Linked DNA regions of Drosophila melanogaster. The protein of the gene in region 2 interacts with the protein of the main gene of each other region in a pairwise test. Each region holds a gene or a part of one and is shown on either strand. Other genes may lie near its edges. The genes, in order: Sap-r and Mvl.

Region 1 (7,855 bases), 9.8 Mb from region 2:
GTGGTCGAACATTTGATGGGGCTCGTGAATATCTGAAAAATTCGATATATTATTTTTTACTTTATTAATCTCTGTATCGCTACTTACAGTTGGGAAAAATAAAGTTTATCTCACGAGCCACGCTGTAACTGTTCTTGGTGACATGGATATTGCGTTCCAGATCCGATGCCGAACCACTTAAAGTCAAATTGTACCTAGAGAACTTATTATTTTATTTTAAAAGCAAACTCACAAATAACAAATCATGATGTTGAGCAGCTCCTGCACGGCGTTTTCCTTCGTAACTATGAACGCCTCGGAAACACCCTTCGAAAGCAGAATGACCTCCAGCATAAACCCCTTTTCATCGGCATAATCGGCATAGAACTCGGCGGCAGTTTCTGGCGAAAAGGCAATCCGTCGATTACCCTGAATCTGGAAGCCCTCGGCCAGCAACTTTAAGAGCACCGGACGCCGCTTGTGCAGATAGTCCGGCTTAATGATAAACAGGGAGTTCTCAAACATGTCGGCTAGAAAATATATACTATTCCAAGGGGAATTGGGAATTTTCAATAATGTGCTACTATGTCGGTTTAAGTTTTCTGTATGATTTATAAGATCAATGTTCGTATTTTACACAGTTTTGCTTGATATCTTAAACTACACACACTGCTCAAATGACTTCGGACACATGGGGATATCGATACAAAGTTTGCGGCTCGTGAATTTCGCTAATTTTTATGTTGAAATTACGATAAGGGTACTGCTTAGTGTAAGTGTTAGTTTAGTTAAGTTTAACTTTTTTCAGCCGGCGTTTGAGTGCGTTTATAAATTCAGTTTCATCACAAATTCACCTAACAAATTTAGAGCCAAAAACCGGGGTACAAAACGAAAAGTAAGTAATTATGTTTCATTTACAGTAAATCGTTATAGAATGTAAACAGATATATGTAAAGGTATATGCATATATAAAGCGTGGGATCGGGTCCCTTCTCCTTCAAATCCTCCGCGCCTGGTTCGTACATCACAACGCATCACTTAGGCTGTTGAAGATAGTAAATTAGTAAATGTATTGTTTGGGTCCTTCAACCTATAGCTTACCTGAAATTCTAGCAAAGGCCAGCGAAGACTTCTCGCTTTCGAAACACTTGCCAATCTCGGCGCAAATATGCGACTGATCAATATAGGGTCGTTTGGCCAAGTTCTTAATGCTACTGCCATAGATGGAGATCATCTCAGAGCACTGCAACGCAAAGGAACTTATAGATATTTATAACATTCAGGATTGTAAGTTACATACGATCTTGTAGTACTTGGCTGGCAAGTTCTCGCATCCCACCGATGTCATCTGTAGGGCTGTCACTTCGGATACGTTATCTTTCTTCTCGCGCAGGAAGGGCAACAGAGCCTGGGTGACTCCATGGCACACACCACACTCCAAAACTTCATCGGTGACGGCCACGCTGAAGCAGAGCTGCAGTTTCTGGCACACCTGCTTGGGCGGCACATCGCTCAGCAATTTCAGGACCGCAGAGGCATATCCATCGACGAAGGTGTCGCACTGTTTGCGCACCGTGGCTGGCAGGCGATTGCACACGGCTTCAATCGCTCGCTTAATGTCGTCCTGTTCGGTCTTATTCTTTAGATCGGCATCCAACTTGGTCATGATAAATTCGCAAAGGACGCAGGTGGGCGGCTCCTTGATGCTGCTAGACAGCTTGTTGTCCTGGCGCGGCAGAGCAATCACGTCGTACTTCAAAGCCTCATCCACTTCGACTGTATTACGAAAATGAAATTCATTAGTTTAAACGTATACTTAACGTAGCTCTAGAATTTAATACTCACGATCATCCAGATCAGCCAGGATGCACATTCCCAACTCCGTGCAGATAAGCTTGGGATCCATTTCCTTTAACAGCAGATCGGCGATCTTATCGCCGTACTTGTCGATAACCTTGTGGCATTTAGTGTTCATTGGCTTCCTCATTCGGTCGCAAGACTCCTCCAGGATATGCTTGATGCTGTCTCTGGTGGGGTGCTTGCCCATACGCTTCTCCAAGGTCTTAACCAACTCCTCGCAGATCAGGCAGTTCGGAGCAGCGGTGAATCCTGGGTCGAAGGCCAGCTGAGGGGGCAGCTCCTCAAGGGACTCAATGTCATTGAAGCTGATTTCCTCACTGCTGGATTTGTCCTCACCATCGACATCGTCCTCCAGCGAGATGCGCAAGTCCCAGAGAGCGTAAGTGGTCTTTGGGCAGAGCTTCAGTTGGACGCAGATCTCCTGCGGCTTAAAATCTGTGATCAGCATGTCGATCAGCTCATTGGAATAGGTGTTCACGAAGTCTACGCATTCTTCCTTTATCTCGTTGGGCAGATGGCTGCAAAGGCCATTCAGAACCTTTTTGATATTATCCTTGGACTTGTTGTCGCGGATCTTCATCTGGGCCTGCTCAACGGCAAAGAGGCACAGAGGGCAAGTTGGGGGATCCTGCTCATCGCTGGCTGGCTGGGGATTGAACACTTCGACATCTTCCTTCTTGGGCAGATTCTTCGGGCACATCTGCATGAGGGGGCACACGTCACGAGGATTCAGTCCTTGGACGAGCAGAGCTATCACAGCATCGCCATACATCTCCACGAAGTTGCGGCATTGACCGGCAACTCCCGAGGGCAGTTTGGCGCAGATGTTCTCCACGGTGTGCTTGATCTCGTCATCCGTGGAGGGGGTAGCCAGAGTCTCCTGAATGAAATGCAGCATGTACTCACACAGGGTGCACAGCTCTCCACCCTCGACCAAAGCTCCGGGATTAGCTGCACCCATTAGGTGATCAATGGGCAGCTGCATGTCCAGGATCTCTTGCTGGCTGAACTTCGGCTCACTGGCGCCCAGTTGCTTCTTCTCGTGCTTCTCCAGCTTCTCGATGGTGATCTTTACCTGAGCCGGCTCAATAACAGGCAGCAGCGGCATGATTGGGACATCCTTCATCGAGGAGGCGGAGTTCTTCTGGCAAATGCCGATCATGCAGCAGGCTCCATTGGCATCTAACTTGCTGACCAGAGTCTCGTAAATCACATGGTAGTATTGGTCAACAATGCTAAGGCACTCGTCCTTGAATCCCTTTGACTGCTTGCAGAATCCTTCCATAACTTGCTTGAACTCCGTTTCAGTGGTGTTGGCCACCAAGACGTCGCGAAGGTGCTTTACTAGTTGCTCGCATAGTTCGCATGGAATATCATCGCCGGCATCCAAGGCAACTAAGGCTTCTTGCGGTTGCTTTTCCTCTTCATGCTGGTGATATCTGGAGGCACACACTCCGGACACATGGCACACGGCATCCGTGGTCAAGTGCTTGCTCACATGGTCGTAGATATCATTAAAATAGGTGAGCACAATGTTGGCACAGGCGTCTGAGAAACTAGATAGCGATCCGCACATATGAAGCATCGTTTCCACCATGTCATCGCGATCGGTAGCCGCAAATTTCGAGTGCATCAGGCGGGAAAGCAGGTTGCAGTTGCCGCAGGAAAGTTGGTTAGGCTGCATGGCCAACTCGGTCTCCTCGGAGCTGTCATCTTCATTCTGGACGGTTCCATCAAGACCAGCCTGAATGCCGTTCTTATACAATTCGTCGATGCGAGCACTGTTGCAAAGTCCGGCCACAGAGCAAACTTGCTGAGGATTGAAGGGAAACATTTTATATATCAATAAAAGGTTTAGGAGGATGTGTTGTAGAGGTGAAAACTCACATCTGGATTCATCTGCGAGGCCAGGGCCTCGACCAACTCGGGCAGGAAGTCATCGGCCACCTTGATGCACTCCTTCTGGATCGGCTTGATCGGAATCAGCTTGCAGGAGCCCTCGAAGACCTCCTTCAGCTCCTCCTCTGTCTGGTTGCTCTTCAGCTGGTCGCGGGCCTGAGTAACCATGTCCTTGCATATCGTGCAGATGGAGTCCGTGTCCACCGGCACCTTTTGGGTTTCCCAAACGGTTTGGATGCAGTGGCGGGTGGCACGACATTCCTTGGAGTTGCTGGAAAGGAAGCAGACATAAAGTTAGCAAACTTTTTTTTTGCTGTTAAGATAAACCCATCAGAGTAAGCAGTCGGATACTAAGCTGATTGTGCGAAATGCCGCTGTTCGGATCAAATGACCCGCATTCGTAATCGAGTGGCCAAGCCAGAATCGACGAGTCAGCAAAGACCAGAGTCCACTAAAAAGGGAGTAGTCCCCTATCCACTTTAAGAATGCACCCACAGCTCACATGATAATGTTGGGTCTTCAATGAATACAACGAAGCATTGGACTGGTAATAATTTTGATTTTTGAACATCCGAGACGGAACGAAATGGTTTAATAATCATCAAACTTATGCTGACTAAATCAAAGCCCATATCATCTCATATAAGCAAATAGCATTTAAAGCACAACACTTTGATGGAAAGTAACCCTATATTTGTTCAATATAAATCGATTTGACTGATTCGAACGGAAAGTGCTAATTTCCATTAACATGAAGAGACGCCTGCGGTGGAATCGCCAGGAATACCAAACAAAAGCGTCTAAATAGCAAAAAATCAGCACTGATAAGCACGGAAATAAACAGTACATATGTATGAATGATATATCTGGACGTATCCACGTATATATTATTCACTTGGCTGCGCATTCACAGATATTGTTTTCTGAATTTTCAACAGCAATGGCGACGTTTTTAATTTTTGACACTCTGCAATTGAGAAACAAAGAAACGGTTAAGAGCCAGAAATGGCGGATTTTCCTGGCCATTTAAAAATAAATCAATCAATAAACAAAGGAATTACGACTAGCGATAAGCGATGGATGGGTGCTTAACAAATGTTTTCAGTTGCCTATTGATCGCTTTTACTCTATTAATGATGCAGTCCATGTAAATGTTTTCAAGTTTATCTTGGTGTAACATACATACATATGTACGTACAGTATAGCTTCTGTAAGGTGATCCTTTGTGGCCGCAATGTAATATCACTCCATTGAGGAATTTACAATTGTGAGTATGGCTAAGATAAGGGTTTCAAGTGCATTGTGATTGTGTTAAGGCTTAGAAGTTGCACTTTCGGATGTTCCCCTGTACTCATCATACGCCTGAGGGATTAGTCAGAATTCGTTGATAAGGAACAACTGTTGCCGCCTACAGCGAATTAACAATGATAAACAAAGCAATCATGTGGTTTGTTTGGCGGTGCACAGAAAAGGGAGCTGTGTCAAAACGATCTGCTCCTCTGGATTACTCATGCATATAATCGGTGTCGATAAAGTTGTGCCCCCTACGAGCGCTTAACTCTGCCGTCTAAATGTTCCGACTGGCGGTACTGTTAATTTGATTTGTACAGCGAATGTGCAGACAAAGGAAATCCAGAAATATGGGATATGAAGGCAGAGAGTATTGCGAAAAGTGCACTCAGAGAAAACATCGAGTCTGTAAAACAATACAACGCAAAATAAGGGGACGCAATTAGAGCGGCACTAGTGTTAAGTTTGCAATAACAGGGGTTATCGGCGAATAGAGCTATGTAGAGCAAAGTGATTCGATTCCCGATTCGAGTGATAGTCTTATCGGCCGAGAACAAAACAGAACAGACGAGTCTTCGCTGCAAACAATGGGCAAGTGAGGCGGAGAAGTAATATCGCTATTTGGAGGGGGGTTAAGAGAGGTTAGCTTTTCGCCTTCGAGAACTTTGTGGTGTTCGATGACCAAGCGATTTATCCGAATATACCGTTTATTGTATCACCCACTTTTTTGCACTCACCTGAAATTTCCGCACCAGTAGGAGGGTCCCCAGGTGCACTTGCTGGAGCCCAAAAGGGGCGTGGCAGCGGCGAAGACGCCTGCAAGAAAGCAAACAAACAAAGAGAGCAACGGTTGAGGAACAGAGTGCACAGCACGAATACGCAATAAGCTATGACTAAACTATTATTGTGGTTCCCTTTCAACGTCGCTTTTCGCACTTCTCTCCATCTCTTCTCCACTCACCAAAGGCGCAGCACAGTGCCAAAACGGCCAAGAGGCCTGCTCTCTCCATTTTCCCGGTTTTAACTGTACTTCTTAAATGTCGGCGGAGATAGTCCTCTATTTGCAGCTACGTATTTATTTCTGAACGAAAACTGAAGTGCAATTGCAACGATTGGTTCAATTTTTTATTTGTCTGTAGTGTGGCCGCCGTCTGTTTCGTCAAATATATACCGTAGCGATATAATAGTGCGACCAGTCAGCGATTGAATTATTGTTAAATTTATTTAACGATACTTATGGAGCAAGACTTGGATAATGCTTTTAGCATAAAACCAACCCAGTGTATACTTAGCAATCAGGGGGGAGCATGGACTCGAACCGCACTCTGTTAATAACAGAGATCTGTTTTTGCCTTTCAAAAAGCCATAAAAACCTCCGAGGAAGCTATCATAAAATGGGGTCAGCAAATCATTAAACTTAAAATGGTATAATAAACAATTAAGTAACCGATATGAAACTATTAGATTTGGGCCACCTTTCTATAGGGTGTTAAGTACATGGAGTACTTGAATACGTTGTCCTTCAAATTATAACTTCAATTATCGTAGAAGAAAATTATTGCTCCTAAAGTCGGAACAATTTATTAAATCACTCACTCAATCAACAAACAAAGCCTTCGCCACCCGCAAATGCCTCACAATGTATTTATAATCGATTGCAATCCGCAGATTTAATTACATATTGCCGCGACGAAACTATGACAATAACCATCAGCGATGTTCTTGAACTTAGCGCGGTTATTAATACGCCCCTTTTTGCCCAGCCCCATCGCTTAACCCCCCTTTGGCCAACTTGGCCAACTGTGCGACGTGAACTGGCAGGCACATGATTAAATTCTATTGTAATTGCGGGTTAATTGATGTGAGCCTGCCCAGATGTAAAGCTCGCAGGCATAAATGTTGGGGAAAATGCATCTCACTCGTAATGGCCGGCTAGTAGATTTTTCTCGCGATGCCTATCGGCGTGTAATTCTCGATTCCGAGGTGCGTATCAAGATCTGTGTGAGAATCGTCTGAAGATACATTCGCAAAGAATGCCAGACACATTCTCACAGCGATTGAAAGTCGAGGTCATCTGGTGGTGTTTGCCCAACGAAATGCCAAATGCAAGCGCCGATCCGGCCAATACGGCCATAACATGGCTATATCTGTGTCAAAACCAACGATTTGGCTGTTCAGGGGCTTAGAAGGAAACCTGAAACCTGTCGTGTTGACCGTGGATTGCAACGCCTGCCGTGCATTTCGGTTCTTTGACGGAGATTAACCCACTGAGACCTTGCTGAAATACTTGGTACTTAGAACCAAAAATTGTGGAAATATTAAATTGCACTCGATTAAATAGGAATTGAATTTAAGGTTTATGTGACCTTAGGCGAGGTACCATGGGGTAGTAGAGGGTTAATTGCAGCCAGACACTGCACTTGACACTTGAAGTCTGGCTGCGAGATTGATATTATGGCAATTGAGTGGACCGCCGCCAAAGAACAAGTAATCAAGTTCAGCAGTGAAGGAAATTTAGGCAATTAACACGCTTATAAGTGAAGCAGTAAATCATTGGACTAACGTTTAATTTCGGAGTTTCAAGAGCGAGATAATTTTCTGCTTTTATCCGCTTTTTTATGTCATTCATAAATTTGTTTACTCTAGAAGCGACTGCTTGTTTGGGTCTTTGAATTCAGCCAAGCCAAGTTATAGTCGGACAAAGTACAAAGTACGCCTTTTATTCCCTCCCAATTAACTTGGTCAAAAATCAGGTTCGGAAAGAATTAAATGCATCCATCCACAAGAGTGAAATTTCCGGCAGTTCACACGCTGGCAGATAAAATCG
Region 2 (8,233 bases):
AATTGTTTCCTTATTTCGTTCTAATTCCTTGTACAATCCTTGTGCAATCAAATTCCAATCGTAAAATGGCTTATATTCGCACTTATGGTCAAATACCAATTACCAATAAATTGAAAGACTTCTCGAGTAATACTTAGTGATAACTGCAACTTTATTTAACATGCTAAGCGCCAAAGCTTTATGAGTACATAATACCCATAGCTCGATAAAGCAATCATAGAAGACTTACCACAGTCAAGCTTATAATCTATAGGACCCCATCGTTGATGGGTAAATGCTTTTTATGTACAATCGTAGTTCCCCTAAAGACATGCCTTACAAATGCTAAGGGTTGCGTAGAGCCCTACTAGGTACGTGTTAGTAGTGTTAAGCGTGTGATTTAGTGTTAATATCACAAGGGTGTGTGGGGGAGTGTGGCCTGATTGAGTCACCGGGATGATTCAGTTAGGCACTTTCTCCGAGACGGTATCAAGACCTTTCACCGTGTTAGTAGCTGAATCGCCTACAACTAAGGTTACATCACTGTGAAAAATCGAAAGAAGAGAGCACAGCAAAATACGGGTTGAGGGTTTAGTTTTAGTTCAGAGATGATAACCAAATGTAGATTAGTAAATAGAAAGTAAGTACAGATGAGATAAGATTAGAATCATTAGGAAGTTAGGCCGATTTGGTTGAAAGCAGAGCGGGAAAAAACTTAATCACAAGCAATGGGTTAGCAGAGAATGCTTTTAAGGAAGAAGATGCAAATCGAGAGAGTTTGTGCATTCGAGTGTGTTCTGGATGGTTATATGGTTGAATGGTTGGAATCAAAAATCGGGAACATACCTGGCGTACGTCGAGTTGGCGTTCTTTATCGAAAAGCTGTTCTGGCTTGGCAACACAAAACGCTGCACCCACTGTAAACAGAGAATACCTTGAGTACCAGTTGATGAAGTAGGCATAAGCCCTCAAAGCCCCCAAGAACCATATGTGGTCAGTCACGTAATTTGATAAAGTCAGTCCGTTCAGTGCGGTATCTGTGATGCTTTAAAATGTGTCAAAAAGTTCGCCTAATTTGTGATTCTCTAAGCCCATTTGATAAGTGACCCAACTAGTTGCGGCCAAGTACTTACCCGGCTGTTCATCAAACGCTGATTGCCCATGCAGGCAGCCATGTGTATCACAAGGTAGAGGTTGAACAGTATATACAAAATGGCAAAAATACCTGCAATTGGCAAAAGGAAAAATACATTAGATTCGGTTTAAATTGTGGCAATTGACTACTCACAGACTAGTGCCAGCAAGCCGCCTTTAATTTCCATATTCTCTACTTGCACCACCACAAAGTACAAATTAACGCCAATCACTACAATGGTGAGCAGTATGGATACGATTTTGTTGCCCCTGTGAATACAAAAATTTAAAGAATGCACGATAATCAATTAAAAGTGTCTGTATCACTTACAGTCCATTAACAAACTCGCCCATTATGGCGGCGCACGAGGTGAAGGCGATGGTGGGTATGGCAGCGAATGGCAGCTGGAGCGACATCACCGCATTCAGGATATCGTTCATGCTAGTCAAATCTTCCATCTTGCTGAACATGGCCAGGCAGAAGGTGGGAATAATGGCAATGCAGCGCGTGACCAGCACGCGACACCAGCGCGGCCACTGCAGATTCAAGAAGCCTTCCATTGAGAACTGACCGGCATAGGTGCCCGTCATGGTGGAACTCTGGCCAGCAGCTAGAATGCCCACACCCCAAATGTACATGGCGACAGCTCCAAATGTGCAGCCAAGGAAAAGTCCGCCCTTGTATAGATCTGCATCGATGATCGCGGTTCCATTTACATTGTCCACAAAAGACATTTTGGCATCTTCGTACATCGACTTGTCTTTACACACTTCAACCTATTGGCCCACAAAGAGTTAGCAATCATTTTACACATAAATTCAAAAGTCTACTTACCACATCATTATTAGTTTTGCCATACATGCCATGGGCAAACACAGCCACCACAAACAGGTTAATGATGAAGGACACAAACAAGGCTACCGACGCCTCGATGAAGAAGTAAAAATTCGCCTCACTAACTTTCTTTGTCTGGCGACGGTCTATATCGCGGGACTGTTAACAGAAAATTGTTATGTATTGGTATCTAATTACGAAGTCACAAAAAGCTAGTTGTGCTATACCTTAACCAAGGCGGAATGCAGGTAGAGATTGTGCGGCATAATAACAGCACCCACGACACCCACGGCCTGCAGCAACACATTCGAATTGCAGTTAGAGCACCAGGGCACAAACATTCCCTCGAGAACTTCTCCTTGATTAGGGGCTGATACAATGTACTGAAAGATATGAAAAATAAATTAATTATGACTTAAAACCATTTAAAAAATGATTATGGGGAGAAAACAAATTGTTCCTAGCTTATATTGAGATTTGGTTAGAAATAACAAAATACTTGTTACTCGTAGAAAAATCCCCTCGAGGCACCCCCACTTTTTTCCATTGTAATTATCTCCAAAAACCACCATCGGTAATTGTACAATTCTGCATTGTATAATCTAATTGATAAGACTGGCATTACACATCCCATCTGGAATTGTTAGTCATGTCCGGCAGCATCATGTGCCTGGCAAACAAAAGATGAAGTATCCAGCACCCACGCTCAGAACCCCATTTAGTGTGCGAGTGAAGCTTATCTAATCATCTCCGTCTGGGGCAGAAAGCTCAAGTACAATTGTTTATAATCTGGCCCGTTAACATGATGCGGTCGTAAACTTAAGAGTAAGAATATGGGGCTAGTTAACGGGCTAACTTCATCCAGAAATCGACAAGTCAAATGTAAATTTACTACTAGCGATCATTAAAATAAACCTAAACAGGCATCTCACAAATTATTTGCCATTGCGGTCGTTGCAATTGTTTAAACAATTCGTATTTGCACTCACGTCTGGTAATTTATTCTCTTGACTACTTTATTGTCATTTGGCAAGGGGATTTTTTGCTGATTTTGGCGATTACTTTTTATAGTTAAGTTATTTTTTTCAACTTTGCATTTTAAACTTACCTCATAGCCGAATGAGACAGCCATAATGGTGATGAGGGTGCCGAATAGGAACTCCAGCTTGCGTAGACCGTACTTGTCCAGAAACAGGAACGTGAACGTGTCAACAATGGTGATCAACACTCCGCCCCACAAAGGCACTCTACAAAATGGGGAAAGCACCGCATGCATGAGTACTGGGTACTGCGATAATCCGCTCATTAGATTTGCTTACACTTTGTTGGACAGCAGGTATATGGCAATGGCCGTGCCAATGACCTCCTGCATGTCGGATCCAATAATGGCTATCTCTATCATTATCCACAGTATCCAACGTGGCAGACGCTTGTACTGTCTGTAGCACATCTCGGCCAGATGCAGGCCTGTAACCACGCCCAGTCTGCCAGGAAGATAATAAACGCTTATATCATCATCTTTTTTGCAAGGTGTGGAGACCCAATTACCTTGCAGCCAAGCGTTGCATGAGCAGACCTAGGACTGTGGCCCACAGCAAGACCCACAAGATCTTGTACTTGGCCGCCGCACCAGACTGCATATCGGATTCGATGTTGCCGGGGTCCAGATACGCAATGGACATAAGAAAACCGGGTCCCGTGAAGGCCCACAGCTTGCGAAAGCTGAAACCCACCTGCAGATCACCAGATATTAGATAAAGTTTGAGTAGCATTGCTATTCAAGCGGGTCTTACGTTTGTGCTATCATCGTCGGGTATGAGGACCTTCTCGTCGCTAAAGTAGGCCTGCTTGGCGGCGGGTTTCAGGTAGGTCGTCTCGTTGAGTATCTGCTGGTGGTGCAGCTGGTTGCTCCGCTGACTTCCTCCGCCGGATGCGCCAGACGATCCGCCCGGTCCATCTCCACCGGCACCCGGCTCGTGGTAGGCCTCATTCGAAGACATGCTGCACAGAAGAGGCGAGGTTAGACTGGACCTAATTCGAGTTTCCACATGCTGCTATATTCCCGTCCACTGCCCATTGTCGACTACTCTAATTTGTATTTTCTATTTGATTGTTTCACCTGGCATCAGCTTATGATTCCCACCATTTTCATTTAATTGAGCATCTGTGTGTGATTCTAGCTCAATTAGCATTATCATATTGCACACAACAAACAAAATAATTTTGCGCTATAATTAAGTTTTTTGCACCATATAGTTTTATTTGGGGATTTCACCATAATCAAGAGCAAAGTCACAGTAACACGTTTTATTTTTTCCGAAACGCGCGTGGCAAAATATGAAAACAATAAATAGTTCGAGAGGCATTAGCTCGGGGGTAACTGATAACGCGTCCATAATATTACTGAAATTTGCTTATATTATGCGGGTATATAAGGAAATAAAACGAGCTCAGTGATTCATGAAGTCCAGTAATTGAAATGCCTCTGCCCAATTTACCCAGAGAACTTGCAGATATTTCGCATTTGCAGTCGTATAGATATGGATGGTCGAAAACAAGACTACTTGAACATAAACACGAGTCCATTGACCCGTGTATCGATGTGAAATTTTGGACTGTTTATTTGGTAAAAGCGATTACAAGTGCATTTCGTATACAAGATGCCTGAGCAGTCTTGGCTGCTCTTCAACGCAATACATTGAATGTAGAGCCAAGTGGCTCACCTTGACAAACGCGACTGCCCCACTGATGCTACATATCTGCTATAAGGCTTTCCACATCGCTTCATTGATGATTGAATCGGAGCAAGCAAAGACAAAGAGCTCGAGAGCATCGTGCAATGTCTACTTCACATTATATGTGGCACTTGGACGGGTACATTTGGCATATACTATAAGTAACCGAGTTGGCCATATCAAGCCGCCATTAATGGAGCTTAAATCGCGCTGCAGTGGCTCGAAGGAAATGTGTAACAACGAAATGTCGGAGGAGGGTGTTTAGTTCATTGGAACACTTTTGTGTTATATTGTGTGGCGCAGACTGCTCTGTTTACCCAGTTGTATGGCAATACCCACGCCCCCAAAAGCGGAATTCTAGCCGATAAGTGTATAATCAGCCACATATTTATGTACGTGTTCCTTTGCCACTTTAGTGCCCAGTTGGACGCTGTAAATTATGACAATTGGTAATCAAAAAAAAAAAAAACGAACCATTTCCATTAAGAGTCCAAATTAAGTGGCACCAAAAAATATCATGAGTTTATTTAGAGAAAATATATATTTTAAACTGCGTACCATTTTGCGCAGTCAGCGGGCAAAAGCAATTTATATTGTATATTGAAGCAGGCGAAACAAAACACTTGACAACAAAAAATTGACAAATGCAGATAACAGTAATTTGAAAATAGAAGAGCAATACTTATCAGCCCACATTGTTAAGTCGCTTGTTAAAAAAAAAAAAACTAAAACAGTAATTATACGATTTCCGCTGCCTAAAATAGTTATTTCTATGACAGTTCTCGCTGGCAATAAAAGTAGTGAATTGTGTCTGGAAAACTATCCATTGTTAGGGGATTTTAAAGTGCGAATAGCTTGTCAACAATTGTTTTCTGTTTACGGTTATTTACGGTTAAGAATTATACATTACTCTCTTTGCCGGTTAGAGGGAGAGCGGACGGAGAGAGGGTGCACCACGTTGTTTTTGTTATTAGCGCACACCTGCGTGCGCACTCACACACACACACGAAATATTGATGGAGATGTAAATTATTGGGCAACTCAGGTTAAACAGCACTTCCTACCAGTTAATGGCTTACTTGCAACTGGGGGTTAACTAATTGGAGCCCTCGCCTTTATTATATCACAATCTCGGCACTTGTGGCAGCTTATAAATGCATTTTCCTGCTTTTCTCGCGGAGCAATTTACGAAATTTACGAATTCCGTGACGTTGTACGGCCGAAACAAGAGTGGTGATGGTCGCAGTAAACGAAGCAGAGAAATGACGAAGAAGCGGACGGTTTGGCTGCCAATTGCTGACTTAGTTAACGACAATTGACGAGCGTGCAGGCAATTTGTGCTCAGCCGTGAGCGCAGCTCTTTGTTTATTAATTTTCCTCACAATATTTGAGATTCTGCCACCAGCTGCTTTCTTTTGCACGCACACTCACTCGCCTCTCACATGCACACTGTCTTTTCGTCTGTGCCCAATGTGGCAACCTGCGGCCACTCTCTCTTCTTTGACTTGCCGAAATCTGGCAACACTCGACAAGAGTACTAACCTTATCGGCCAAACTGAAGTTTTAACTCTGAGCCCACGCGATCGAGTGACTGACTATAGCATTTTGCGGTAGCCCCTATTTATTCAAAATATCTCTCTCTCGCGTCGGCAAGTGAGAAAAAGAAAGACAGAAAGAGAGAGAGAGAGAGTGTGTGCGTGGGAGAAAGACCACTGCTTTTTTTTGAGGGGAGATTTTTTGATAAGGCCTGAGATTTGGATTTTTGAAGGCCCCAGAAATACCGCCTAAGATTTGAACATGCATTTGAAATACCGGTTTGTACATCGACCGCAGGTTACCGTTAGAAATGTTATGCGGGATACATAGTTAAGTTGCATACCCTTTGAGTTACAATCACTAGTTAATAATATCTACGTTATTACCAACACGCACACTTTATCGTAATACCTCCTTGAAGTTTAATTTATACATCAACTTTATCAGTCAAAACTTTGATTTCGTCTGACACTTTTTTCGATTACGATCCGTCGCCAATAATTGCGATAAATCTTATCAAGTCTTTTTGGGATTGGCGCTCAAATTTACAATATGGCCGTACATCCTACTTATGTATGTTTTTTAACTAATTAATCACCACAATGCAAAGTACTCTTTCTTTGTTGAGCCCATATGCACTCACATTTGCACCATGAATCATGTCAGTAGCTCGTTTCATGTAACAATTTCTACTTTGCCAGATTACGATGCGTTCGGAACAGGCAGATAAGAATTCGGCCCATCCAAGAAAGGCCTTGACAGTTCTACCCCAAAATAGAGATATCCTCGTGATATTAGAAGGAACCCAACAATATGCTCGTTCTTATCTTCTTATAGAAATTTGTGAATTCCCGTATCCAATGAAATCATTTTACTTAGTAAAATGATTTGTTAGGCCTTAAAAAAAAACAAAAACACCCGAACTATCAGTACCACAATTTAAGAGAGAACTCGTTATTATTTAACTTTATTAATTATGTATTTCTTTATCAAAAGAGCAGACTTTTTGTTTGTGACTGTCTTCAACATTAGATCCGTCTTTAACATTAGATCAGATCACCTGACACGGGAAACTCTCGTAGACTTTATACAATTCAAAAAAACCAAAATCGTTACTTGACACAAATATCATAACTAATGCATAAAATATGAAATGAGAGATATCTAAAATAGCTTGGCATATTTTCTTGGTAAAATAAATGTGTTAAATACAAAGAATGTAAAATGCAATAAATGATACATATATCAAAAATGGAATACCACGGTTACTTTAAGTGCTAGCATAACAAATTACAATAATAATTCAATATCTAGCCATTCGTTGCACATAATTTGGAGGGTTAAGAGGGTAAACAATGGATGGGAAATGGGCTGGGTTAGTTGCGAATTGGTTTATATGGTTTATAATCCAACATCAGTATTATCGTTTTCGTTAGTATGTAAATACAATTTGATTTTGTTCTATCGTGAATTTCAATTGGAAGCTTTTATGAGTTCTGTCCCACCACCTGCACGTAGTTGGCTGGAAAGAGTCCGTAGCGGTTCTTGCACAATCCCCTCCACCACCCATCGTCGATCTTCTCGATGTGGGTGATCACGTCATCTGGATCAAAGGATATCTCGTCGTCATCCGCCGCCTGGTAGTCGTACAGGGCAATGGCGTGGATTCCGGTGTCCTCCAGATAGTCGGCCAAATTGTCTGAGTTCGCGTAGATTGCCTCCTCGGGAACGGTTGCGGTGCCACTCGGAGCAACAGCCTCTGAAACGGTTCCATTCGTTGGTGGCAAGGGCGAGGCAGCCTTAATCTCGGCCTGGTTCTGGTACAGTGGCTCTTCTTCAACTACTGGCTCAGGATCGGCTTGAGGTTGCGGCTCAGGTTGGACTTGGACTTGGGCGTGGACTTCGGGTTGAGGCGTCGGCACATACACTGGTGATTGCGGCTCACTTCTGGGAGGCGTGTCCACGGTCTCAACCTCAATTTGGGGCACCACATCTGGTGGTGGAGCTGCAGCCT

The links.
Region 1: the proteins of Mvl (region 2) and Sap-r interact in a two-hybrid assay, tested with the Drosophila melanogaster proteins (one large-scale study listed by BioGRID).

Annotation. Positions count from the first base shown.
Region 1 is NT_033777.3:30,882,896-30,890,750, forward strand, and holds Sap-r (Saposin-related), read right to left. Parts: upstream 6,168-7,855; 5' UTR 6,039-6,167; coding exon 5,990-6,038; intron 5,932-5,989; exon of another isoform or gene 5,845-5,931; coding exon 5,766-5,844; intron 4,010-5,765; coding exon 3,727-4,009; intron 3,653-3,726; coding exon 1,825-3,652; intron 1,756-1,824; coding exon 1,280-1,755; intron 1,223-1,279; coding exon 1,081-1,222; intron 1,023-1,080; coding exon 1,018-1,022; 3' UTR 569-1,017; downstream 1-568. Other genes in the region: CG15547 (uncharacterized protein), read right to left, coding at 1-32, 88-176, 233-504.
Region 2 is NT_033777.3:21,054,520-21,062,752, forward strand, and holds the start of Mvl (malvolio), read right to left. Parts: upstream 6,135-8,233; 5' UTR 6,066-6,134; exon of another isoform or gene 3,950-6,065; 5' UTR 3,949-3,949; coding exon 3,742-3,948; intron 3,682-3,741; coding exon 3,497-3,681; intron 3,433-3,496; coding exon 3,268-3,432; intron 3,196-3,267; coding exon 3,057-3,195; intron 2,332-3,056; coding exon 2,176-2,331; intron 2,108-2,175; coding exon 1,949-2,107; intron 1,891-1,948; coding exon 1,445-1,890; intron 1,384-1,444; coding exon 1,268-1,383; intron 1,205-1,267; coding exon 1,113-1,204; intron 897-1,112; coding exon 826-896; intron 523-825; coding exon of another isoform or gene 441-522; exon of another isoform or gene 129-440; intron 1-128. Other genes in the region: cortactin, read right to left, coding at 7,707-8,233. UniProt on the Drosophila melanogaster protein: Putative transporter required for normal taste behavior. May be a nitrite/nitrate transporter.